Pelodiscus sinensis: one gene and its partners. The protein of the gene in region 2 interacts with the protein of the main gene of each other region in a pairwise test. Links are inferred from orthologs where the notes say so. Each region holds a gene or a part of one and is shown on either strand. Other genes may lie near its edges.

Region 1 (7,585 bases), on a different chromosome or scaffold from region 2:
GGGTGTGGACTGACACAAGTTTGTAATGTTGACCAAACCTAAGATGGTTCATGGACTATTTATGCAAAAATGTGCAGCATTCAGTTTCCAGTCAGCACCTGTATGATTGTAGAGATAAATGAGAGAGCGAAAACTTAACAGGATGGACAGCTTCCTACTGGCTGCTTCCTGAAGCTAATTTGATTCAAGAATACATTAATAAATTTGCACATATTAATCTAAATAATTTCATAGTGGGTTTGCTCATACATTCCACGCATCACAGCTCGTAGCACTTTCTATGCAAGCAGCTAAGAACGGCCCATTGGTATCTGAGGTATTAGTGCCTTATCTCTCTCACTCCAGGGTGTTTTGGACATTTTTCTATTAGTATTCAAGATGAGTCCCAAAGACTCACTATTGCTTTCCTTTAAGACACTTATTTTAATGATCAGATGGTGACTGACTTAGTTAAACTGTCTTTCATCAGCTCTTTCTTCAGTTATTTCCAGAAAAAACATATTTTTAGTTTCCTTTGGAATTAGGGATGTAAAATTTAGAGCCTGAAGTCACTGACTATCCTTTCCCCCACCACAATATCACCAGCCTTTCCCTATGTTGATCAAGGCCTACTCCACTAAAGCTCTAGCTTTGTCGCAAGGCTTCTTTGCTCATATCCTGCTCTATCACCTTCATAATAATTTGGGAATCACAATATAATGGACACATCCAATAACTTGAAGAACTGCTGTTCATTGGGATGTGTTCATTGAGATGTGTTGCTCCACCTTCTTCCTCCAAAGCATCAGTCTATCTTTGGAATTTTGGTGTGAAGAAACTGAAGGAGTTTCAGGATGACTCTGCCCTTTATATTCTCCATCCAGAGCATGAAGAGCCAGGGTGGGTGGGCCACCACTATGGCTATACATGTCCATCTAATGGCTATATGAAACACATCTTGAAGAATAAGTTATGAAAGGGTAAGTCATTTTTTTTAGTGTGTGAGCTTTGTACCATTTTTGCTAATTATGATTTTCCTGGTTTTTTTTTTCTTCTTAACTCAGAAATATAAGTCAGCTGGCAAAGTTCTTGGATGATGCAAAGATGTAGACTGGGAGTTTTATTCACTTTTAATTGAGGCAATGAATGAATCTTTAAATCAGGGCTACACAACACGTTTGTTTGTGGCCCACGGTGCGATTTGGGTTTACGCGGGGCTCAACATGTGGCCTGCAGGGTGGGATCCTTTGAACACGGCCTACACTGGGAACACACTCCACAACGACGAGTCAGTATAATGGTCTTCTGTTGATATGCGTTTTAGTAGTTAAATTCCTGGACTGTCATTGCTCATTAAAAATGCTATCATATGGGTGAAAATTGGGTAATATTGCATTTTATTAATATCTGCAGAACTCACTTAAATGGGGCCTGTGTGTTGTGTAGTCTTGCCTTAATCTTTGTATTCATGCCCATCAGTGTGAAGGAAGCTATTTGCATATATATTTGAATAGCCCTGCTTTAAATTGTCACTTTCTTTCTCAGTGAAGCCCAATTTCAGCTAGGGAATTATGCAGAGCTTCTCTGTATAAACCTTCTAGAGTCTTCAGTCTTCTAGAGTATTGCAGGAAATATTAGGTAAAAATACTTTTTGTATTTCTACAATGAAGAGTATAATATATTCATATAAATAAGACCTGAAATGTTTAATCATTTAAATAAATTAGTATTCTCTCTTTTGCAAGTCACCTTTAAGTAGTATAATTTTTTACCAGTTAACATAACTGTTTAGCAAATGAATACGTTTTTAAAAAATGTATTAAAACATTTTCCACTTGTTTAAATACTTACTAGGCACTTAATGTTTTACACTGCACTTTCAAGGCACAGTAGTAAACACAAGGCAAGAGCCATTGGGGGAAATGTAATAGCATGTTTGTGCAGCCATATTACTTTGTATTTTGATCTTGTCAGGTAGCAGAACCCAAGTTGGATCAAGATGGAGAGACCTTCAAAAACAGCAGGTACTGCAAGAAACCTACCTCCTTCACATGGAGGAGATGTTTAATGTTTGTAAAGCACTTTCTTTAGCTTAAAGCCAGAAGTGCAACATATTGTAGTTAGTAAAATCAAGCTTCTGGTGTTATAGCAGAATGCATGATTCCTATTGCTACTTTAGATTATTCAGCTTTTGTCTCCTGATAGTTTAATGTATATGTACTGCCTCCTCCGGGCCCGACTCCCCCCTCCCGTGGTGTGGGGAAAGCCCTGCATGCGCCTGCCCTGGGGCCGACTCCCCCCGCCCCTGCGGTGCAGGGAAATCCCTGCTGAGGTGCAGGAAAGCCGCCGCGCTCCTCCTCCAGGGCTGACGCCCCCTCCCGCAGCGCACCCAGCACGCCACAGACCTGTGGGAGTGGAGCAGACAGCACACTTCTGGAACCCCCAGAAGTGGCGCGAAGCTGCAGGACTTCCATCCACCCTGTGGGAAGCCGGCACTACCTCCATTGTCGCTGGAGGTGGGAAGTGGGGCTTCTTGGGGGCCGGGAAAAAATGGGGGGGGAGCCCGAACGCCTCGCAATTGACTGGTCGAGGCCATCGCGATCGACCGGTTGGTGACCACGGGTCTAAAGACAGAGAGACAATCTATAGGAAAGAATAGAGGCAGCATAGAAAGGAACAGTTGAGTTGACTGGAAAAGAAAAAGGGAAGACATTATTCAGCACATACACAACTTCCTAAATTCCCCTACACTTTTGCCACAGAAAAACTGTCATGGCTTCTGGGTATAAAAAAAGACCTTATCTGGGAATATTGGGAAGAAATTCATTCCCTCGGTAAAAAAGGAAAACATGTTAAGTGTAAGTAATGTAATAAGATGCAGGGCCTAGTTGCAAGAATGAAACATCATATGGAAAATGTACTGGGAGAAAATTATGTTGATGATGTGGACGTACAATGTCTGAAGTGCAATGTGGATGAACTTTGCAATGCATCACTCTTCAAGACTCTATGCCTTTTAGTACAAGCCTGATTTAACAAATAAATTCCCAATAAAATACAAATGGTATGTGTTTGTGTGTATGATTTAGTTCTAGTATTCCTTGTTTCTGTGGGTCAGCAATGAGGGCATATAGCTCACAAACTGGCCAAATAGGTGCTATGGTTATGTGGTGGGGCAACTACCCCATACTGTCCAGAAGGAATTAATGCAGGCTGGCGGGATCCTGCACAGAGCCCTGGACAATAACGATTTTTAAAGTAGACAATTAGGGTGTGGTTTGCTGGGGCTACCAAGCAGATAAAGTCAGTTAGGCTTTTACTGGGGAAGATACAAGGCCTTGTTTTTGGAGAAGCACCCTCAATAGAGCAGTACCGAGTGAGGGAGGCTCCTGCCTTAGACTTGCCAGGCAGTTGGCCTTGCCAGGAGGGTGCAAAAAGTCACAGGGGAAATGATCCTGGAAACAGAAGGCAGTGGAGGAGAGGTATAGGAGGGCAGGACAAGGCTGCTGCTGCTCCCTGGATTGGGACCCAGAGTAGGTGGTGGGCCTGGTTCTCCCCCTCCCCATTGCACAAAAAGTCTAGCCATTGTTGTTTTGTGGCCTGGAAAGACTGTGGCTTGCCCCGGAATGAGGGGTTAGGCTTGGAGGCCACAGTTGGCCACTGTGACAGCAGAGACACCAGACAGTCGATAAACTCCTGGACGGGGGATGAGACAACTGTAGTGGGCAATGCTGGAGGGCTGTGTCCTGAAAGATGCTGTGGTTGGGGGATGACATGAGTCCAGAACTGGAGTGTGGCCTGGGATCCATCAGTAGTAAGATCAACCCCATGATAGGCTATTATAAAAGAAGTTTTAATGGCCAACTGGAACAGAAAGCTAAGTATAAGGTTATTCAAGACAGTGTGATGACACCTGCCACCTCAGTTCCTTATTTGCTCCATGAGTCAAGATTAGGACCCTGAGAAATTAGGAAAGTGTCCAGGAATTTAAATAAGCAGAGTCCACCTTGAAGATCTCCAGTTCCAGGTAAGTAGTGTTCACTTGTGTGGTTAAGGTTTTAGGAGTCAGGTGCCTGGAGCCCAATGCCCTACTATGCCATAGACTTCCTGATTGTGGGTGAGCAAGTTGCTTAGGTCTCAGACTATACACACAAATTGTAGCACTTAACTATATTGGTACACTGGAAGCAGTACAACTCCCTGCTGTTTCCCACCAGGGGCTTGGTTATACCTATATATAGGTACTTTACATTAATGTAGCTGTTTTATAGGGAAAGACCTGCCGTATTATCATCTACCGTATAAAATGTTGTTATATCAGTTCTCTCTTGGCAGGGTAACTGCGGTGATTAACGTTGTCAAAAAAAAACCCCTCTCCTTATTGGGCATGCGCACCTTCTTAGCGCAGCTTGTAGTTTCCTTCTGCGCCTCCCGCCCTGCCATGGCGGTGAGAGTCACTGCACCTCCGGATAAAATGATGCTTCTCACCCAAGGCTGATGTGAGGGGAGGTTTATTAACGGTAGCGAAGCACCCGGCTCCCACAGCGAGGGCGGCGGAAGAGACAGGGCTGCAGTGAAGGGCTGAGGGTTTGCAGGTGGCTCTGGGCCAGCCCCGGGCTACGCGGTGCCCGGCTGTTTTCTGCCAAGCAGCGGGTCCCCCGCGCCGTCTCCATTTCTTCCTCCCACCGAGATGCGCTGGTGGGCGGCAGCGGAGATGTGGCCGCCGCCCCTCCGGGGGCGCAGAGCGGGGCAGTCCCTAAGCCGGGCTCACCGGGGCTCTGCCCTCCGCTGCCTCACGCTCTCCTGACCGCACGCGCTGACTCGGGAGCCGGGGGCGGCCGGGAGACCCGCCTCTAGGAGCGAACGGTGCTGGGCAGGGTGACGTGCGAGGCAGCTCTTGAGACCCGCTCGGACCTCGCCCTCTGGCCTGCAGCCACTGCCTCTAGGTGCGCAGCCCGGCGCAAAGGCGCCATTTTCTCCTCGCGAGCCACCCGCCTCTCTAGCGGGGTGATGTGAGGTCAGGGAGCCCGGGTCCCGCTGCGAGCGCGTAGCAGCTCTCGGCGCCGCTGCAGGGAGGCGCTAAAGTGGAGAGGAGTCACAAGGCGCCGTGGGGGACTGCGCATGCCCAGTAGCTGCGAAGGAGAATCGAGCCCAGCCGCGGCGGCCTGTAGTATACACTGGCGCACGCGCAATGTAGCGGGGCTTAGCCGGTCTGTTGCCGGTAGGCTCTGGCGACGCATGCGCAGTGCTGGCGGCGAGGGAATCACAGGCCTGGCTGCTGCTGGAGGAGGCGCTGGGCTGTCGGTGGGGTTGGGACCAGGCGCAGGAAGCAGAGTCCCGCACACTGCGAGTAGCCCCAGGCGGCGCGCGGAGCCGGGTAAGGGGCGCGCTGCCGGGGCAGGGGGAGCGGCTGTGGCCGGGCGGGGCCCCCCAAATCCCGGGCAGGGGCTTGGGGAACCATTAAAGTTTGACAGTCCTGGCGGGGTCCCGTCTGCAGGGCAGCGGCGGGGGGTGGGCAGGGCAGCGGCTGCCCTTGGGGCCGGGCGCGGGCTGGGGCTGCCTGGCGGGGCAGGGCAGGGGCTGTTTCATAAGGGACCCGCTAGGCCTTGTGACCCACTTTACTCCTGTCACAACTCCCAGCACGTTTGGAGCCCTGCCCGGCTGGCCCGGTGCCCGCCTGGGCCCCGCCTGCTGCCTCCATTCGCCGCCCCCAGGGCGGGGGCGGGACCCTCCGAGCCGCCAGATCCCCACCTGGCCGGGCGCGGGTTGGAAACGGCGCCTCGGCGCCGGGCTGGGCTGGAGCGGGGACCCCGCTTGTTTTCTTTCTCCCGCGGCTGGAGCCGTAGGCGGTGTCTCGACCGGTCGGTGCAGCCGGGAGCGGCGCTCCCTGCCCGCACTGCCCCGGCTGTCGGCTGGGCTCTCCGGCTGCCAGGGCTGGTTGTTTACAGCCTGGCGTGTGGCGGGGCAGCGCGCATAGCGCGGTTACCTCGCAGCACCCTGCTGGCTGGGGAGCCCTCGTGTCCGCAACAGCCGTAGCGCCGGGAGCGCTCTTGGCTGCAGTGCTCGGTGGACAATAAAACCAGGCGGCGGGCTGCTGGTGGTAGTCGATGGCCTGTTGTTGGCAAGGCGGTGATGTTCTTAGTGTCGCTGGTAAATTAGAATGAAATGCACTGGTGTGAGAAGTTACCTGACAGCTGACACTTGGCAACTCGTGCATCTAGTCCTGGAAAGCAATAGTTCCATAAAATGAAGTTGCTGGCCTGCGGGAAGCGGCCACTTGCCTGCATGAGCTTGCAGTATCTATCTCTCAATCCCACATGAGTCACATATTTTATAATTGTAATACTTAACGTTTGTACATCGATTTCTACAGAGAATTCGCTGTTTAAATCCTGTTATAACAGTGTAAAGTTAAAGCTACAGTAATAAATATCTACATTTTATTTTGTTTAATGTAGTTTTAGCATGATGTCTAAGCAGTGTTTATTAATAAAAGTATTAAAAGTGAAAATTATTCACCCATCCTTCTGGCATTTAGGTGCATGCTTAACTTCAAACATCTGAGTAGAAACACTGGTTTTAGTAGAATGGCATGCATATAAACAATTAAGCATGTGCACTGTAGTACAGGTACCTAAATTGCTTATCATTCTTTCTGCATTTCTTTCAACTTGGAAATTGATACTAGGTGAATTTTATAATCAGTTTCATTTTCCGGTTCTCATTGCTTCCTTACTGGAGTTTTAAGTAAAGCAAGGAGAATTTTTGTTTAAAAGCTATTTTAATTCGAGGTTTTTGTTGTTAAACACTCGAAACATTTTGTTTTCTGAGATCACTTAGCATTATGGAGATTCAAAGAAAAATAATATATAGTCTCATATTTTAGAACACTAGGTGTTCTTTTTAAAATGTGATGCTATTGTGCATCTTGGACTTGGTCTTAAACTGCTGAGAACCTTGTTGAAAACAAATGATCGTGCTCTAATAGCGCATTTTTTCAGGAAATAATTGGACTGAATTATTTTAAAATAGCATAAACAATTTTTTTCAGGCCTGTGTTTAACTGCTAGGCTCAAACATAACACACCTGCTTCTTACTTATTGCTTATTTCAACTTTACATGTAATGGAGGATGGATGTTTTATTTAAGCTCTGTCATTTTATGCATATTTGTGTTTTACTTTTTGTAAATTGTTTACATTTTTTAGGATTACTTAAACTCCCTCTGGTGACTAATTTAATATCTATATGTAATTTAAGTATGTTAAAGTGTGGTTATTTGAAACTTTGCTTATGTGGTTGTAGGCTGATATTCTTGTGCAGTGCCTCAATGAGGTCCATGGGGTTTCGTATAAGGGTTCAACTGTGAATGACAACTTACAGGTAGAACACACTACGAAGGTTCTATTGATAATAGGTGATTACTAGTGTTAATGTTTGAGCCCCCAGTGGCTGCGAGGCTCCAAATTTCACCTGATCTGGCTACTCCTTCTGGGTGTTAGATGTTTTTATTTTTGGATGGTGTATTTTTGGTTCTCTTTGCTTATATGGTACTAATACTGTAAAGCCAGTGTTAACCGGAATGCCCTAATCCCCAAGTGTGCCA
Region 2 (7,729 bases):
AGCATCAATGTAACCATGCTGAATAACAAGGCTCCTTCTGATCTCTTTCTGTCTTGACATCAGATACAATAATCACAAGCTGTTTTTGCCTGATGCATCTTTATTAAGGACCTAGAAGACTCTTCTTCCCTGATAACCAGAGAAAGGTGGCCAGCAGAGTTATAGTTGTTTAACATTCATTCTCAAACTACCTATTAAGCACATTACATAAAACATTATAAAACCCTGTGGTCTACATTGCCTCTGAAACAGAGGCAGCAGCTCTGTCTGTGCAGATGGAGGCCGCTCCAGTAGTAGCTCCCATCCAATGGGACCCTCTGCTGACAGGGGCTGCTGCCATGAAGCAATCTGTGTCCATGGCCAACCCGGGTGGACGCGGGCAGAGGCTGCATCGCCACAGCAACTCCTGTCTGTGGGGGCTCCCAGTGCACAGGAGTCTGGCCACCCCAGGCCGCCATGGACAGAGGCAGCAGCATGGTGGGGGTTGGGAAGCTGGGGATGCCACGGAGACAGTCCTGGGGGGGGAAAAAAAATCAGCTTTTAAGCCAAGTCCCCCACAGCACCGCCTCCTGCTCCCCCACCCCCACTGCCTCGGATATAGGGGAACATCCAAACAGTCAACTAGATTAACAGATAAGCCTAGATTTATCGGTTATTCAACTAGTCAACTACTCACTTACATCCCTACTCTGGGAAAGCTACAAAGAATTGCACAGTTTGGAGCCAAACTGAGAAAACACCTGTCCTGAACATCCCGTTAGGCAGTTAGGAAAACTGATGTTAGCTGTTCTTTTGCAAATCCTACATATCAATGACTATAGGCAAAACCCTGGTTCTACTGAAGCCAATGTCAAAATTCCTGGACCTACTGAAATCAACAGAATTTTGACCAGGAAGTTTTCAGTAGTATATCCTTTGGCTCTTGGTTTTCCCCAATGGTCCTTGTTTTCCCATGGTTTTGCATATGTGCGCACGCACACACACACACCTTTATATTCCCACTTGTAGCTCACTTTGCATGTGTGTCTTAATATCAAAAATCTAATTTTAGTTTTTTTCTTAATTCATACAAGTGCACTAATAATGTGAAAGGGTAAATTTAAAAATAAGAAAAAAGTTTGGTCTCAACCTAGTCCAATTTTAGGATTAAAAAGTTTACGGTCTTTCACACAGTTATTTATAACTTAATAGTAGAAGTAAACAACTTCTACTGTAATTGGTCTAACATCTTAAAGAACCAATGTGAAAAAGTATCAGGAATCTGATAGTGGAAACTGAAAACAGTAAGAAGCAAGTTACTATAAAATATGTGACAGTATGATTAACTATCTTTCCTATGGATGCTGCTCAGTGAGGGTGGGGGTAAGGTGAAGAGCAGTATAAATCCAGTGTTTTGAGAGTTTTTTTTGTTTCCTCCTTTTCTTACAAGAGGTACACAGAGTAGGGAGTGACTCAAATACATTTCCTCCTTTTGAAATGATTTTCATTGAAGCATCAAGGTAAAAAATAAACCCCACATGCTTCAAAAACAAAAATCAGCTTCAAAATCGCACCTGCATTTAAATAAACAAATGCTGTCTAGCTTCCATAAACCAAGAGACAAACAGGGGGAAAAAAACCGATGACCTATTTTTAAGTGACTAGAATTCTCTCACACACACACACAGCCCAAAATATCAAAAGACTTAGCATGAACATAACAAACTACAAGTGACATTTGGAATGGTAAATCGCTCACCCTTCTCAAAGTCAGACACAAAGCATCTATTTCTTTCCTCAGATGAAAATCAGGGAAGGAAGCAACATATACATTTTAAAGCAGAAAAAGACCAAACTGCTGTGAATTTTGAATCTCACTCAGCTCCTGAGAGTCATGGTTGAGAACAAACAACATTAAACCTATTCTCACACACAACAGAAATATCACACTTAAGATAGTTTAAATTAGTGCACATCAAAAAGCTAATACCTCATGGTAGAAGCCCATGATACCATCTACATGTTTTATTAGTGTTTAAAGTGCTGCTAGACTATTTGTTAAGTTTTTCCACTTACAGACTAACTCGGCCACCCCTCTGAAGCTTTTGGATATATTACACGCATACTCTATATAAAGCAAAATAATGTAGATCAGAAAGCGTAGATCAACCGCTAAATTAAAAAAAAACCCAATACATTACAAATGAGAAAAAAGGCAGTTAGTCTAGTTCATTTGAATACAGGTGTCTACAACAGCAATAATAAATCAGATCAGTGTGTGACTATTTAGCATAAAACCTGCGTGTGGGTGTATAGGATGAATAATAAAATAGAATTCAATGCTGCAAATGCTTCCTCATCTATGACTTCAAAAACACTGCATGGGCAAGTGAGGAGCTGGCAGGATCTCAGGGCCAGAGAGTGGCTATTAAGCCTGGGAAAAAGCAGGCTTCTGAATATAGTGGAAGGGGAATACAATCCAGTGTATTTTTCAAGGAAAGTGGGGTGATACTGGGATAACCTATTGGGAAAAATCAGGCACAAAGATACAGATGGGGCACAGCACCCAGGAGAAAAGAAAGACACACCGCCAACGTGTGTATTTGTGTATCCCAGTACAGAAGTACACCCAGGACACAATGCAGACACCCACACAACCGCCCAGGATAACACACCCAGAAAAAGTATGTTTATGTACAGACACACACACACACACGGGAATGCACAACTTCCCAAGACGCACGCGCTTGCACAACCCCCTCCAGACACCCACGCACGGGAATGCACAACCGCCCCCCCCCCCACACACACACGGATGGACAGACAGACAAGGCAGGCGCTCCCTAGCCTGGCACAGGGTAACCGGTCTGTCTGTCTGTCTGTCGGTCGGTCGGACAGCCCCAGCTCCCCCGCGCTGACCTGCAGGCGCCGTTCTCCGCGGCTCCTCCTCGGGCCCCGCCTGGGCCATGGCGAGCGCCCCGCGCAGCAGCGCGCCCGGCCCCAGCGGCATGGAGCGCGCGAGGCGCACACCGGCCCGGCGGACGGTTGGCCCAAGTCAAGCCCCGACTCTAGCGCCGCCCGCCCTCCACTGCGCGCTTCTCGCGAGATCTCCTCAGAGCTGGCGGGGCAAGGGCGCTGAGGTGCCCTGGGCGGAGCGGACTCGCACGTGCAGCCCAACGGAGTCCAGGGCCACGGAGCCGGAGCAGGCTGGGACTTGGCACCAGGCGCCTGCTTGGCCCGCACTGCACTTGCGGGGGCTGAGAACAACGACGCCACAGGCCAGCCAGTCTGCAAAAGTCGTCAGTGCCCCCCCCCCCTTTTCCTCACATCCGGACCGCTTCGCACATAGGAGCCTTTTATTTAGCTCCCGTTTTTAAGCAGGTGAGTCCCATTTTTAAGCCCCCCCCCCAAATATGAGCGCTAGAAACTTGCTTACAGAAGGAAAAAGCCAGAGATTCTTCTCTAGGCCCTCAGATGGAAGAGTATCTAGAGTAGGGATGTTAAATATCACTTCATCGAATAGCTGAGTAACCTCAAGAATTCTTATCCCGTAATTGACTCTTCTATAGTCCCTGGGGACGGGGCCAGCAGCCAGTGTGCTCCAGCCCCACTCCGGAGGAGCACCCTGCCACGCCACATTTCTCTCTTTAGCAGAGGCAGCAGTGCAGGGTGCCAGATGGGAGTTGGTCCGCGGGGAGCCAATTTAAAAACCACCTCCCCTCATGGACCGGTTGCCTGTCACCCTGTGCTGCTGCCTCTGATAAAGAGGCAGCAGCCTGAGGTGGCAGCAGCCCCTGTCTAGGGTGGGTCTAAGCTCCCGGACCTGGTGCGAACCAGAACTGAGCTGGGCTGCCTGCCTCCTAATATACTTTAAATGCAGAGCTGCAGCAGCGGTAGGTCCCAGATCTGTTTCATGCCAGGACTGAGAGGGACTGCTGGTCAGCCTGCTAAAAAATTTATTGGGAAGTGTGTGTAGGGGAGGAAACATGTATTCTATAGCATTAACCTGTACTTATTTGCTTAGCCGTTAATTGGCTTACAACTATGATATTACAACCCTAATCTATAGCCGTTCCCTAAATCACGTTGACCTCCACTGCCAAAACACTGAGGCTGTGTCTACACTGGGAAGGTTGGGAGATGAAACCATTTTTTCTGCCTCCTATTGTTGGCATTTCGTGGCCACATTGTGAGCACCCTGTCAATAGATAGAATGGGGGTGGCCCTCCAGTTACAAACGAAGAGCCAAAATAGCTGTGGATATAGTGCAATGAGCCACATGTTATATATTTATTTTTATATATCTGTGTATAGATAGATATAGTACACAAAATGTAGTGATAAAAATAACATTAGAGGACACTTCAAATAAAAACCAATTAAAAAGTCTCTAGTCACTTAAAAAATTCACGGCCAGTCCGTAGATCTTCAGAGAACTGGGCAAGGAACAAACATCAAATTGAGGGGAAAAAAAACCTTTAAAAATACATTAACATTCTCACACTTTTTTTAAAAAAAAGCATCCCCATCATATATTTTAAATTTAACATTAGTGCACTATTATCTCCTGTGATGCGTGTGTGGTTTTTTTAAACAATTAAACTGAATTGAGAAGTAAATTAGCACAATTTGAAGTGCCTGTTTCACTCCAGCTTGTTGATCTCTGGTATGGTTTCCTCATTTTTAATTTTTTTTGCCGTGGACTTTAAATATGACATCTGTGTTGGCTGCCTTATTCTGCATCCATGAAGACTTTTGAGTTTAAGGTGATTCAGCCCCCTCATTCTAACTCATTATCCCTTCTTTCCCACAGAGCCAGGCACCCTCAGCCCCCCATTCTAACCCAATCCCCTCCTCCCCTACAGCCAGCCCCGCCCCTCCCAGCTCTAACCCAGTGCCTGGGTCCTGGAACCGCCACATGCTTCTCTCTCTAGGCGCGTGCGCAGAGCAGCCAGCTGTGAGCAGTCTGGGCACACAGCTCAGAACAAGAGCCACATTTCTTTAACCAAAGAGCTGCATGCAGGTCGAGAGCTGCCCGTTGGCCACCCCTGAGATAGAGCAGAGCAAAGCAAAGTGGATAAGCATCCCACAGTGCAGAGTGGTGGGAAGACAGAGCTGATCCCTGCACTTCTTGCAATTCTGTCTTAGCTCTGTGAGCTTTTGGTGCTGAGGAATGTCAAAGCAGTACACCTGTCTCTCCAGCCTCCTCCCTCCTCGGCCCTCCCATTGCTGCAAGCAGCAGCTTGCCTGCTGCAGTGTTCCTACCAGGGCAGAACAGCAGCATTCCAATGATTTGTTCTTTGTTTGTTCTCTAAACAGAGCAGCTCACTCAGCTGTCGGATGCTTCCAGAAGCTTTGAAAGTGTAGGGGTACATGCCTGTAGGGCAGCAGAGATCACAAAACACTAAGCACAGCCATCAATACAGGCTTTGTGAGATACTGGTAAAAGCCAGTTCTCTTACTAAAGCAAACAGCAGTATGCACACTGGCTCTTTGTCAACAACAAAGAAAGGGGGGGGAAGTCTGTAGCAGGGCTGGAAGTTTTTTGTCTCCAAGTGGGTGTTTTTCTTAATAAAAGTCGCATTGCAGTGTAAATGCTCTCACTATTTTGTTGACAAAAGGCAGTTTTTGGCAACAAAGCCTCAGACTCTGTACTCTGTCATGAAGTGAGAGTAGGGTTCCCTGGAAAATTTAAGCTCTACATTAAGGCTCAATCCTCCAAACATTCATATGCATACTTATATACAGATTTGGACCCTAAGCAGTCAAACCGAGATGTAAGTGGTGAATACAGCCTTGTATGGGTCCTGCTCCTAGTGTGGGTTGTGCACATTTTGTCAATATCTGCTGTGTGGATTCATAAAATATTTTATTTCATCCAGCATGGATGTGTAAAAACTGGCAAGCACTATCCAGAATTTTTAAAAAGTAGCTAAATTTCTTTCATTCATTGTAAAGACTTATCAGTCACTTACAAATGTGTTTTGCTTCAGGCACACTGCAAGCATCAAGTGTTGTTCCAAAAGTTACATTCACATTAACATTATGAAGTTTTCTGTAGCAATCGTATCTTTCCACAACTTCAGCCTTATGTGAAAGCATTAAATAGTACATGGCAACTAATTTAATAGTCTTCCATGTAACTATCATATACCACTAATTAATTGTATGAGTTAAATATAAAACAAAAAGATAAGTAACTATAATTGTCAATCTTATATTCTTAAGAACTCAGACTTTTCCCTTTACAAATAAAAATGAGAATAATTAATTCCCTCAGACAATTTAAAATCTTTTCTTTTGGACAGAGCCTTTCAATTATTAATTATCACTTTTCAGTTATATTGCACTAGCACATAGGTGCACAAACTGATATTGAGACCTGTTGTGCTGAGTGCCGTACGTACACATAATAATGGGAGAATGACACCATAGACATGTAAGACTCGAAAGGACCTTAAGAGGTCATCTAATACACCCTATCTGCTGAGGCAGAGTTACTCAGTTTAAAGAGTAACTTGTATGAACAAGACTAACAAAACAGAGGAGAAAAAAAGCATGGGGAGGTGAATCACAGAGAGATTAAGTGATTTGCCAAAGGTTATATTGGTAGACTGGCAAAACCAGGAATTAAAAATCCAGATAACACCAGTATCAGTCCAGTGTCTTCACTGCATCACTGTACTTCAGCTGCTAAAATGTATGTGTAGGGAGCTTTTGGAACTGAAACAACTTGTGCACTTTTAAGGGCTGAAACATTCCAAGGCAGCAGAATTTCAGAGAAGGCTTATCTAGACTACGCTAGAGTGTTGAAAGATCTTCTGATCTCACTTTTGAAAACAGAGCTTTCAAAAAATGAGGTTTATGCGGCTTTTCGACAAAGGGGGGTTTGCCGAAAAAGCCGCATCTAAACTACTTTCACTTTCAAAAGCTCCGCTTTCGAACGTGAGATCGGAAGAAGATATGCAAATTCCTATGCAAATTCCATGGGAATTTACATATCCTCTTTCAACACTCTAGCATAGATAAGCCCAGAGTGGGCAATCAGGTGTAGCCAGAGCAGGCTGGAAACCAAATCCAAAATGAAGGGGGCTGGATGTTATTTATAAATAAGGTTCCATTATATTTTATTTTTCTTGCTATTGTCCACAGAGAAAGCCATGGCATTTAAATAGAGCACAATTGGCTTATTAGGAGTTGGACACATTACAAAGGCAAAACAACATCACATTTAAAATACAGGGGGAAATATTCCACTACCTTGATTTACAAAGTGAAAAGGGAAATGTGAAAAACAGAAAAGGCGTATCTACTTTGAGCTAAAGCAGGAGAAATTACTTACATAAGTACTCTCTCAAGTGACTATTAACCTACAGGAAGCTGAGGTCTCACACATGTGGATGAGTGCAGGCTAGTTGTTTGTCTGGTACAATGGAAAATGAAAGTATGCCGGGATCCAGACAAAAGCTGTCCATTACAAACTTGTTACTGCAGGAATAAATGAACAAAGAGATATTTATCTGAAAAGGCATTTGCTTCAAAGGATAGTCTTAAACAATAGAGGACTGAAGGGGTTAGAATGTTGATGACACTTCATAAGCACCTCACAGCTGGTGGCAGTTCTGGTGGTGAGGCCTTTCCTTTCTACTTGTTCAGTCACAATCAAGAGACTACACCTGGCTCTTTTAAAAGGCACCTTTCTAAATTAAAGAAAATTACACACTCTACAAAGGGCTCTCACTGTAGCTTT
Region 3 (8,223 bases), on a different chromosome or scaffold from region 2:
CTCTGCAGAGCTAACGGGATAAAACCTAATCAAAAACTTGTCTTTGCCACAAGCAGTAAAAACAGAGAAAAGCTCATTGGGTTATGGTTGGCACTTCAGATGTCAACATTATGTTGTGATACAGTGTTGCATTGTTTGATAGTGATGAGGTGAGAAAAGGCATGCATGGGGGGACAAAAATAAATTAATCCAAGAAGCATTCATCTCCCTAAGCCACTCAGAATCAGTTAAATTAAAAATGAAAGCATGTGTGGGGATTTCAGGGCACAGCCCTGGTGCTCCTGGCAGTAAAGTTGTGATTCACAATTCATTTTAAGACATTGAGAAGTTTTCTACATGGTTTGGAACTTGACTAATGCAAATGTCTTTAAAAACAAACAAACAAACAAACACAAATAAACAAGCCAAAACAAGCTTTTCATGGATGTAAGCCCATGTGAAAAATGTGCAGTGGATATGTTTTTTAAAAAACTGTGGTTTAGAACTTTTTTTTTAAGAAGAGGCTGAAGGGGCTCATCTTACAAAGCACTGTGTGTCCTAAAACCTCACTTACTTTGTGGAAATTGTGGGTGCTGAGCTCTCCATGGGGGCACTAGGACAAAATCCTCAAAAATACTTGGGTTTCTAACTTCTATAGAGTTAGGAGGCAAAATACCTTCAAGGATCGGGGCTTCAACATTCTATAGTAGTGGCCCAGAATCATTACATGTTTGAAAATAATGTGTAGATATGACTTTCCATAGCATTTTAAGCAAATACATACACTGTGTTAGCATGTATTATCTCTGGAATGCTGTAAATAAAATGTATTTCAGAGACTAGTTTGTTAAAATAAACACATTGCATACATTGATTAGACTGGTTACATAAAATTGTGTTCTCAAAGTATGTATTTACCTTACTTTGGTATGCTGGGATTAACTAGTATCTAGGAACCCATAGGAATTTCAAATTTGTCTATTTCATTGTGGATTGTTTAAAAACAAGTTAGACTTCCATGGCTTTCTTTTTATTTCAGTATGCCATTTATTTCAACTCTTCCACCCCTTTTTATAACATTTTCACAGCAGGGCTAAAGCTGAAATAAGCTACGCAACTTGAGGTACGTAGTTTATTTTGGCTTTTGGCACTTGTCTATGCAGCAGGAAGTCCGAGAAAGAGCACTTTTCCTCTGACTTCCCTTACTCTTCGTAAAATGAGGGTTACAGGAGTTGGAGTAATAAGTCCTCCAGCTAGACATTATTTTCATATTATGTCAAAATAGTGGCATGCTGCGTAGATTTGGGACTATGTTATTTCGGAATAATGTCAGGTATTCTGAAATAACACTGCTATGCAGACATACCCTTTGAAGGGACAAAGTGCTTCCAGCCACAGGGTGGGTTGGGCAAGGGGGAGAGAAAGAAAAGATGAGTCCGCATCTACACAGCAGGCTATTATTTGCTGTCTGTTTAAAGAGAGTGCACTGACAAAGCTCCACAAAGGTCACTTTATGGAAGATCCTCTCTCCTGGATGTTTCCCCAGCCGTTGATCCAGCTACTCCTAATCTGACTATACTGCACCTATATGTGACATCATAAAAGCTTATAGAGTAATGCAAATGCCATCTATGCAAAAAGGTCCAGCTGCTATTACCGAACCAAAACATTGGTTCTTCTGACTTTTATATGTTTTTAATATTTGGTCTTTTTGTTTTATTGCTGCACGTTGTTGCACGGCATACCACATTTCTTAATTTCTACACAGCAACTGTGGTTGTTGCGTAAAACAGTCAGTGGTACACTTGAAATATGGCAGTATTTCCTATTTTAAGTTCAGGGAAATGGTATCTTTTTAGATATTGCTGTTAGCAAATGTGGCCTTTTAAACTTCTAATAATGCCAAAAATATAAAAGAGTAACGAGGCATCGTGAATAAAATTTCGTATTTCTGGATCTAAATTCCAGCCTCCAGCAAGGATTTTGTCTGGTGGAAATTTACTGCTTTATATACGTGTACTGAAGAGTGCCTTACTTTCCCATTGTGAATCGTATAAGCAGTGCTGAAAAGTATATTTGGCTCCTACGACAGTTGACTGTTTGGGTTTGCTGAAAATTGGAACAATCTCATCAAATGTGGAGCATCTGTTCCCTCTTTCATTTGCCAGTATTGAGAACTAATTGTTTATACTGTCATTTTTGGCACCCTGAGAACCATTTTATAGGAAATTATTGCTGAAATCCTGCTGCCTCTGGAATTAGTGGCAAAATTTCCATGATGCCAGGATCTCCCTGTTGATTCTGAGAATTTACGCATGGCTGACAACCCTGAAAATCCTTTGTTTTTCCTTATCTCTGTGATAATGCAACATCATCACTACCATGAAGATAGGGTATATTTTGGAGTCCATCAGCATTTCTAAGTCACGTTGGGGAGTCACAGTTGAGCAGTTTGTTGCTGCACCTGTACTTTCAACCCCTGCTAGTCAAAAGAACAATAAATGTGGCATCTAGAACAGTGTCACTAGGACTAGGCCAATGGGCAAGACCTGAAATATCTGAATTTTACTGTGCATCTGAAATACAACCATTTTAAATTCTTTGCTTGTCTGACTCAAATCAAGTTGTTTAGCCAGGTAAAGAATCTTCAGATACAGAGAGTAGTAGTGACATCAACAAAAATCAGTGAAGGACTAAGATCTCAACTTAATCTAGAGAATGAATGACTGGTTCTTTGATCCTACTGCATTCTTCAGTCACTTGAAGGCTAAACAAATTCTGTTTAACCAAGTTTACTTAGGTTTTAAATATTTGTGCTTTTCTTTTGTGTAGATTCTGTTGTATAAGAAACTGTTACCATCTAATCATATTGCTGTTATACAAGTGCAGGTAACGCTCCTCAGATGAAAGCAGAATTTATTACTAATAGGGAAACACATATTCCATAAAAAAATACTTCTCTGGCCAAACTTTCTTGAAGTGGCATATGAATATGGCAGGAGGAGACTGCTAAAATTTAAATAATAGAGAAATCGTTTTTACAGGCAAAATGCTAAATTGCTTCCATTAGTTTGAAGTGTAGGAAAACTAGTGACTTATTCTGAGGAAAAAATGTTTTGGGTTTTAGTTGTCTTAACAAAAAATTCTACTGACAAATGTAGAGACTATGAATGCAATTAAACTAAAATAATTAAATAGGTTGTGGTACAAGGAACGAATTTGTTTGACACAGCAGAGTTTGTACAATTAATTCTGAAAACAAGGTAAAATATTCCAAAGAAGTTCACCAGAGATAAGCCTTAGTACTTTATTTCCCAAGAAGACAATATCAGCAAGCTTAATTTTAAAGTTTATTGCTGTTTTTATTTGAACAAGTCAATAAATATACAATGGCTTTTTAAAAAAAGAGAAGAAAGAAACAAAATGTAGAAGCCCAAAGAAAGGAAAATCAGTAAAATGAGGGCCTTGCAGTTTTATGCTCCAGTATTCACCAGGATGTGAAACAATTTTTACAGTGTGGGTGCTGACAGCCATTACATCAAACTGTAAACCATGTATATGATAACTATGGACAGTATGGCAGCACCTCATACACCCCTAGTTCCAGCATCTATGGTATCCTCTACTGTGCACTTATGTACAGATGTGCTCTCCATTGGAGCAAGTTGCCTTTACCTTCCTTATTTTGAGCACTTCTAGTATTTAGAAGCTTAACTGAGCACTGCGGTTTAAAAGTTTCAGAGGGGTAGCTGTGTTAGTCTGTAACTGGAAAAACTTAAACTAATAGTCTTGCAACACCTTAGAGACTAATGAAAAATGTGGATGGTATCATGAGCACCGGGAATTAGTTGTGAGAAGGGTATTTTTTTAATCAACCTGTGGTTGAGTAATTTGGGTTTTGAGCTTGAGGAATAGCTACTGGATTTGTGGCTATTGATATGACAGATGCATTTTATGAAAGTGCTTAGAGCATTAGCTTTTTGTATGCGGCATAAATCCAACCAGAGCAATACTTTGTGAGAAAGTCCTGGATTTCAAGTTCTGTAGGCTGGGAGTGAGGAGTCGGGACAAGACTTCATTTTACCAAGCACACTTAGGGGTAAGGCAAGCAATCACTTAACTATGACCCCACATCATCATAGTATCTAATGTCTTAATCTTAATATCAAAGGCTCAGGAGCCTGTGTAGCTCTAACTTCCACCGAATGCCTTGGTGGCTCTTCCTCAAGATAGCTGTTCCCAAAGAGAGGCATCATCACCTCAGCAGGCTCCTGGTCTGAGGAGAAGCCTTATCCAACCAGTCAGCTAAAGGTGGAAGAGAGAGGCATCTCCTGCATCCATTCACAAATGAGGCTTGCGGCTTGATTTTCGTGTCTGAAGGATGACTCCTCTTGACCAAGTGCATCCAGAAACGCCATTAATACAAAATACACCCGCCCTCCCACAGAAACGCGGAGGAGGGAGGAAAGCAGCGGCGGGGGGGAGGGGGGGAAGAAACCTGGGCCATTAAGCCATCCAAAAGCCAATGTTTACAGCCCCAGTCACGTTTCTGCCTGACCAGCCAGGCCTGACAGGTGCTCCCGGCGGCCACTTTCCCCTGCCATTCCCGGCCATCTCGCCCCGTCTCCCCGCGCTGCTTTGCTGGGAAAGCGCTGGCGGGCCCGGGGAGCACCCAGCTCGCTGCGGCCACAAGGCAAAGAGGGGGAGGGGGGCGAGAGGGAGAAATCCGGCCCCCGGGCCCGGGAGCAGGGGCTGCCGAGGGGAGGGAATTGCTCCCAGCCCCTTCTCCCCAGCGTGGGCAGAGCTATTGCGAGTCCTACAGCGCCAGGAGAGACTCCCAACTTCCCGCGGCCCGCCGGGCAGAACGTGCCACTGCAGCCCCGAGGCTGGGGCGCCGCCTCCTCCCCCGCGCTCTTCGGGGTTCTCCTGCTGGCCTGCACCCGCCCAGGCGCCCGCAGCCCCTCGCGGCGTTGACCTGGTCTCGGCAAGTGCTGCTGGAGCCGTGGTGGCCGGGGGCGGGGCGGGGCAGGAGGAGGGCTCCTGCAGCTCCCGTCCCCATTGGAGAACGAGCTGCCGACAGCTCCAGCTGGAGTGGGTGACTGGGCTAAAGAGGCTGAACCTGCCCCCAGGAGCCCAGGGAAGCTTTAAGTTTTAAAGTGAGAACTTTCTTCTGGCAGAGCTTCAGATTCCAGGGCGAACCCGGTCTCTCCCTTCCCCTTCCCCCCCTGGGCAGGCTGTACAATCCTCGGCAGTGTCCTGAGACTGTATGGTCAGCTCAGGGGCGACCTGGCCAGGACAGCCGCAGCCTTTTCCTAGAGGACAATTAGTGCACCAGCCTTGCTGTCAGCTCGGCGAGCCCTCCCGGCGCCTCTCTTCCTGCTCCCAAGCCTGTGATCTCTAAGCTGCCGGGCGGTTTTCTGTCGGGGGGAGGCAATAGGAGACTCGCAGCAGTGACTGAGGAGCCCTCGTTGGCAGCCCGAGTTGGTTTAAGCAGCACGAAGGGCAGCGATAATGACCGCTGACAAGGAAAAGAAAAGGTAAGCGGGAGGGGAGACTGGGGGCGGACAGAGTCGGGGGAGGGGATACGAAGGTGCAATTAAAATGGGAACTGTCACTGCAGCAGTGGTGCCCGGGGGGTGCATGGTTAGTGGGACTCCGCTAAATTACCATCATCCCAAGGACACCTGGGTGACTTCTATTGCTTCTCCGAGTGTGAGGCTGTTGCATTCGCTCCAGGCCCTAGCGGCTGGGGCTGCAAGCGGGCGCTTGGGGATCCCGCAGCAGCTACTGTCGTGAGGAGCCCGAGCCGCCTTCTCTTGAAGTTCACGGCAGGGCATTCCGCTGCCTGCCTGCGGGATCGGGCCTCGAGAGGAGTAGCGGCAGGAAAAAATGTCTCTTCGCAGTGAATTGTCTTGGCTGATCGCCGCAGACGCGGGGGCAGAGGTCACTTCGACGAAACAGCGCAGATCACTTTCCCACACCGAAAACCGCTCCCAGCGACACACATAAGACTTTTTAGCAAATGTGGAGGAGCCCAGCTCCTTCCTTTCCCAGTCTGTGGTGGCTCTCGCAAAGGTGACTGGAGTTCGAGAAGAGCCGGGAGGGGAAGGGTTACACGCAACATAGCGGGGGTTCACACAGCAGGGGGCTGACTAGGGCAGAAGGAATTCCCCAGCACGAAGGAGTGATCCCAAATAGGTGGTTTCAGAAGCTCCTGGTGATGTCATATACATGATAGGGAAACGTAGCCTATGCAGTAGTGTGGATCCAGTCCTGTTCCCTCATGCGCCCATGGGAGCTTCAAGGAAACATGCAGCCTACACACTATAGAAACCCCGCCGCCGCCGCTTCCCCACTTAAGTGTCCGCTGGGTATGCTCGATACCAGAGTAGATTCCACGTTAATCCAGCCCCATCCACCGTCTCAGTGTATCAAAATACCGTGTGTTATCTTCCCTGTGGACTTTCGGCTAGCGCAGGGGCCGTCGGCTAATGTCAGTTACTTAGTCTAGTTGTTGTGAATCCGGTGTATAGGCAAAAAGTGCAACTCTCCGTTTTTGTGACGTCGGTTTAAATCTAATCTAACATTTAGCCCAAGCATTGACTGGAACGCCGACTAGTCTCTGCGGCAGCTGCTGTTCGAGGGAGTTGAGCTCCTAGTGGAGTCAGACTCTTTCTTGTTTTGAGAGTCTGCACTTCAGTTGCATTGGAAGTGAGTGTCCTGGAAGCGGCGCTCTGAAGAGATGCACTGGGAAACATTCAGGTCTCTCTTTTCTGGTCGGCTGTATTGAAGAGGTCTCTGACACCCATAGGCGAAGGCTCTTCCCTCACCTCTGTTATATTTACTCCCACTTTCTTCTCCCTTGGAAAGAACCCTAACTTCTACAAAATGGGAAAGCTTTGTTTTCTGGTGGGGAATCAATCATCCTCATACAAAGAAGAATGTACAGTATAATTGGAAATACATAACTGCTCCCATAGCTGGTCATTTGAAATTCAAATCATGCACATACTCGTTGTTGACTGTGGTCTGTATACTAGTTCTCCAGTCTTGCCAATTCTCAGTTAGTTTATTAGTAGGGGATTAGGCAAATGCAATTTACATGAAGATTTATTATCTTTAATGTCAGTTAGGTTATTATATTTCAGGTGAAGATGGTGTTTTAGAGGGAAATAATTAAACAAAACAAATAATTACAATTACATGGACAACATGAAAACTATGTTAACATTTATTTATTGCATATTGCTGATAAATTTCAACCTATTGAGGGGTCTATAAGGCAGCATCATAATTTTGAGGATCTGATGAAATACTAGAATGTAATATTAGATGTGAAGGACATGGAGTCTTTTTTAAACTGTCATTTGTTTTACTTAAGAGTTGAGGGCTCTGGAAGTGTTTTGAGCACAGTTATGGGCTAGGTGGGTATATCTTACTCTTATGTTTATTTTTGTTGCAAGAAGGGATGTAAAGTAGGGATTGAATTGTATCTTAGTAAATACATATATCCAAAGAAAACAGAAATCAAGGTATTCAACCTCCGTAATTACGACTCAGAATAATTTCCCTACTGAATCTTCATACAAAGTTTTTGGTGGAAACAAAAGGAAAGAAGTCATGAACTATAGTCCAAAACTCCCGCAGACAATTAACTCATGAAATCAACGAGAGTACTTGCATGAGTAAATACTGTCCAAATAATTACAAATTGCATGCTTGACCTCTGTGTTGAGATATTTAAGCTATTTTATACTATCAGTGTTTGCAAGATTGGCTTTTGTCATTGAATACAGACATATAAATAAAAGCTGTACTTTACGAAGGAAATATCTTCATATATAGTAGTTTCATTTACTGATATATGCTAAGCTTTTACAAATTGTATTTAATATTTCTATTTTAATTTGTGCGCTAGTTCTAAATCATTGACTGAGCTACACTATGAATGGACTGAGATACACTATGAGAGATAGGATAACTTTAGGTAAATTGAAAAACTTAAAAAACAGCAAATAGTCTAGTAGCACCTTAAAGACTAACAAAACATGTAGATGGTATCATGAGCTTTCATGGGCAAAACCCACTTCTTCAGATGACCGGAGTATAGGGTTACAGGGTCTGAAGAGAGTGGGTTTTGCCCACGAAAGCTCATGATACCTTCTACATATTTTGTTAGTCAAGTGGAACCTTAAAGATTATTTGTTGTTTTTTAAGTTTTTCCTGTTACAGACTAACTCGGCT

What was found.
Region 1: the proteins of BMAL2 (region 2) and CLOCK interact in binary tests that used the Homo sapiens proteins (3 or more experiments, as listed by UniProt). The link is inferred for Pelodiscus sinensis from reciprocal best matches to the Homo sapiens genes BMAL2 and CLOCK.
Region 3: the proteins of BMAL2 (region 2) and EPAS1 interact in binary tests that used the Homo sapiens proteins (3 or more experiments, as listed by UniProt). The link is inferred for Pelodiscus sinensis from reciprocal best matches to the Homo sapiens genes BMAL2 and EPAS1.

Annotation. Positions count from the first base shown.
Region 1 is NC_134715.1:84,829,415-84,836,999, forward strand, and holds the start of CLOCK (circadian locomoter output cycles protein kaput), read left to right. Parts: upstream 1-4,432; 5' UTR 4,433-5,356; intron 5,357-7,585. UniProt on the Homo sapiens protein: Transcriptional activator which forms a core component of the circadian clock.
Region 2 is NC_134711.1:120,033,827-120,041,555, reverse strand, and holds the start of BMAL2 (basic helix-loop-helix ARNT-like protein 2), read right to left. Parts: upstream 3,135-7,729; 5' UTR 2,990-3,134; coding exon 2,899-2,989; intron 516-2,898; exon of another isoform or gene 1-515. UniProt on the Homo sapiens protein: Transcriptional activator which forms a core component of the circadian clock.
Region 3 is NC_134713.1:164,513,459-164,521,681, reverse strand, and holds the start of EPAS1 (endothelial PAS domain-containing protein 1), read left to right. Parts: upstream 1-5,070; 5' UTR 5,071-5,490; coding exon 5,491-5,516; intron 5,517-8,223.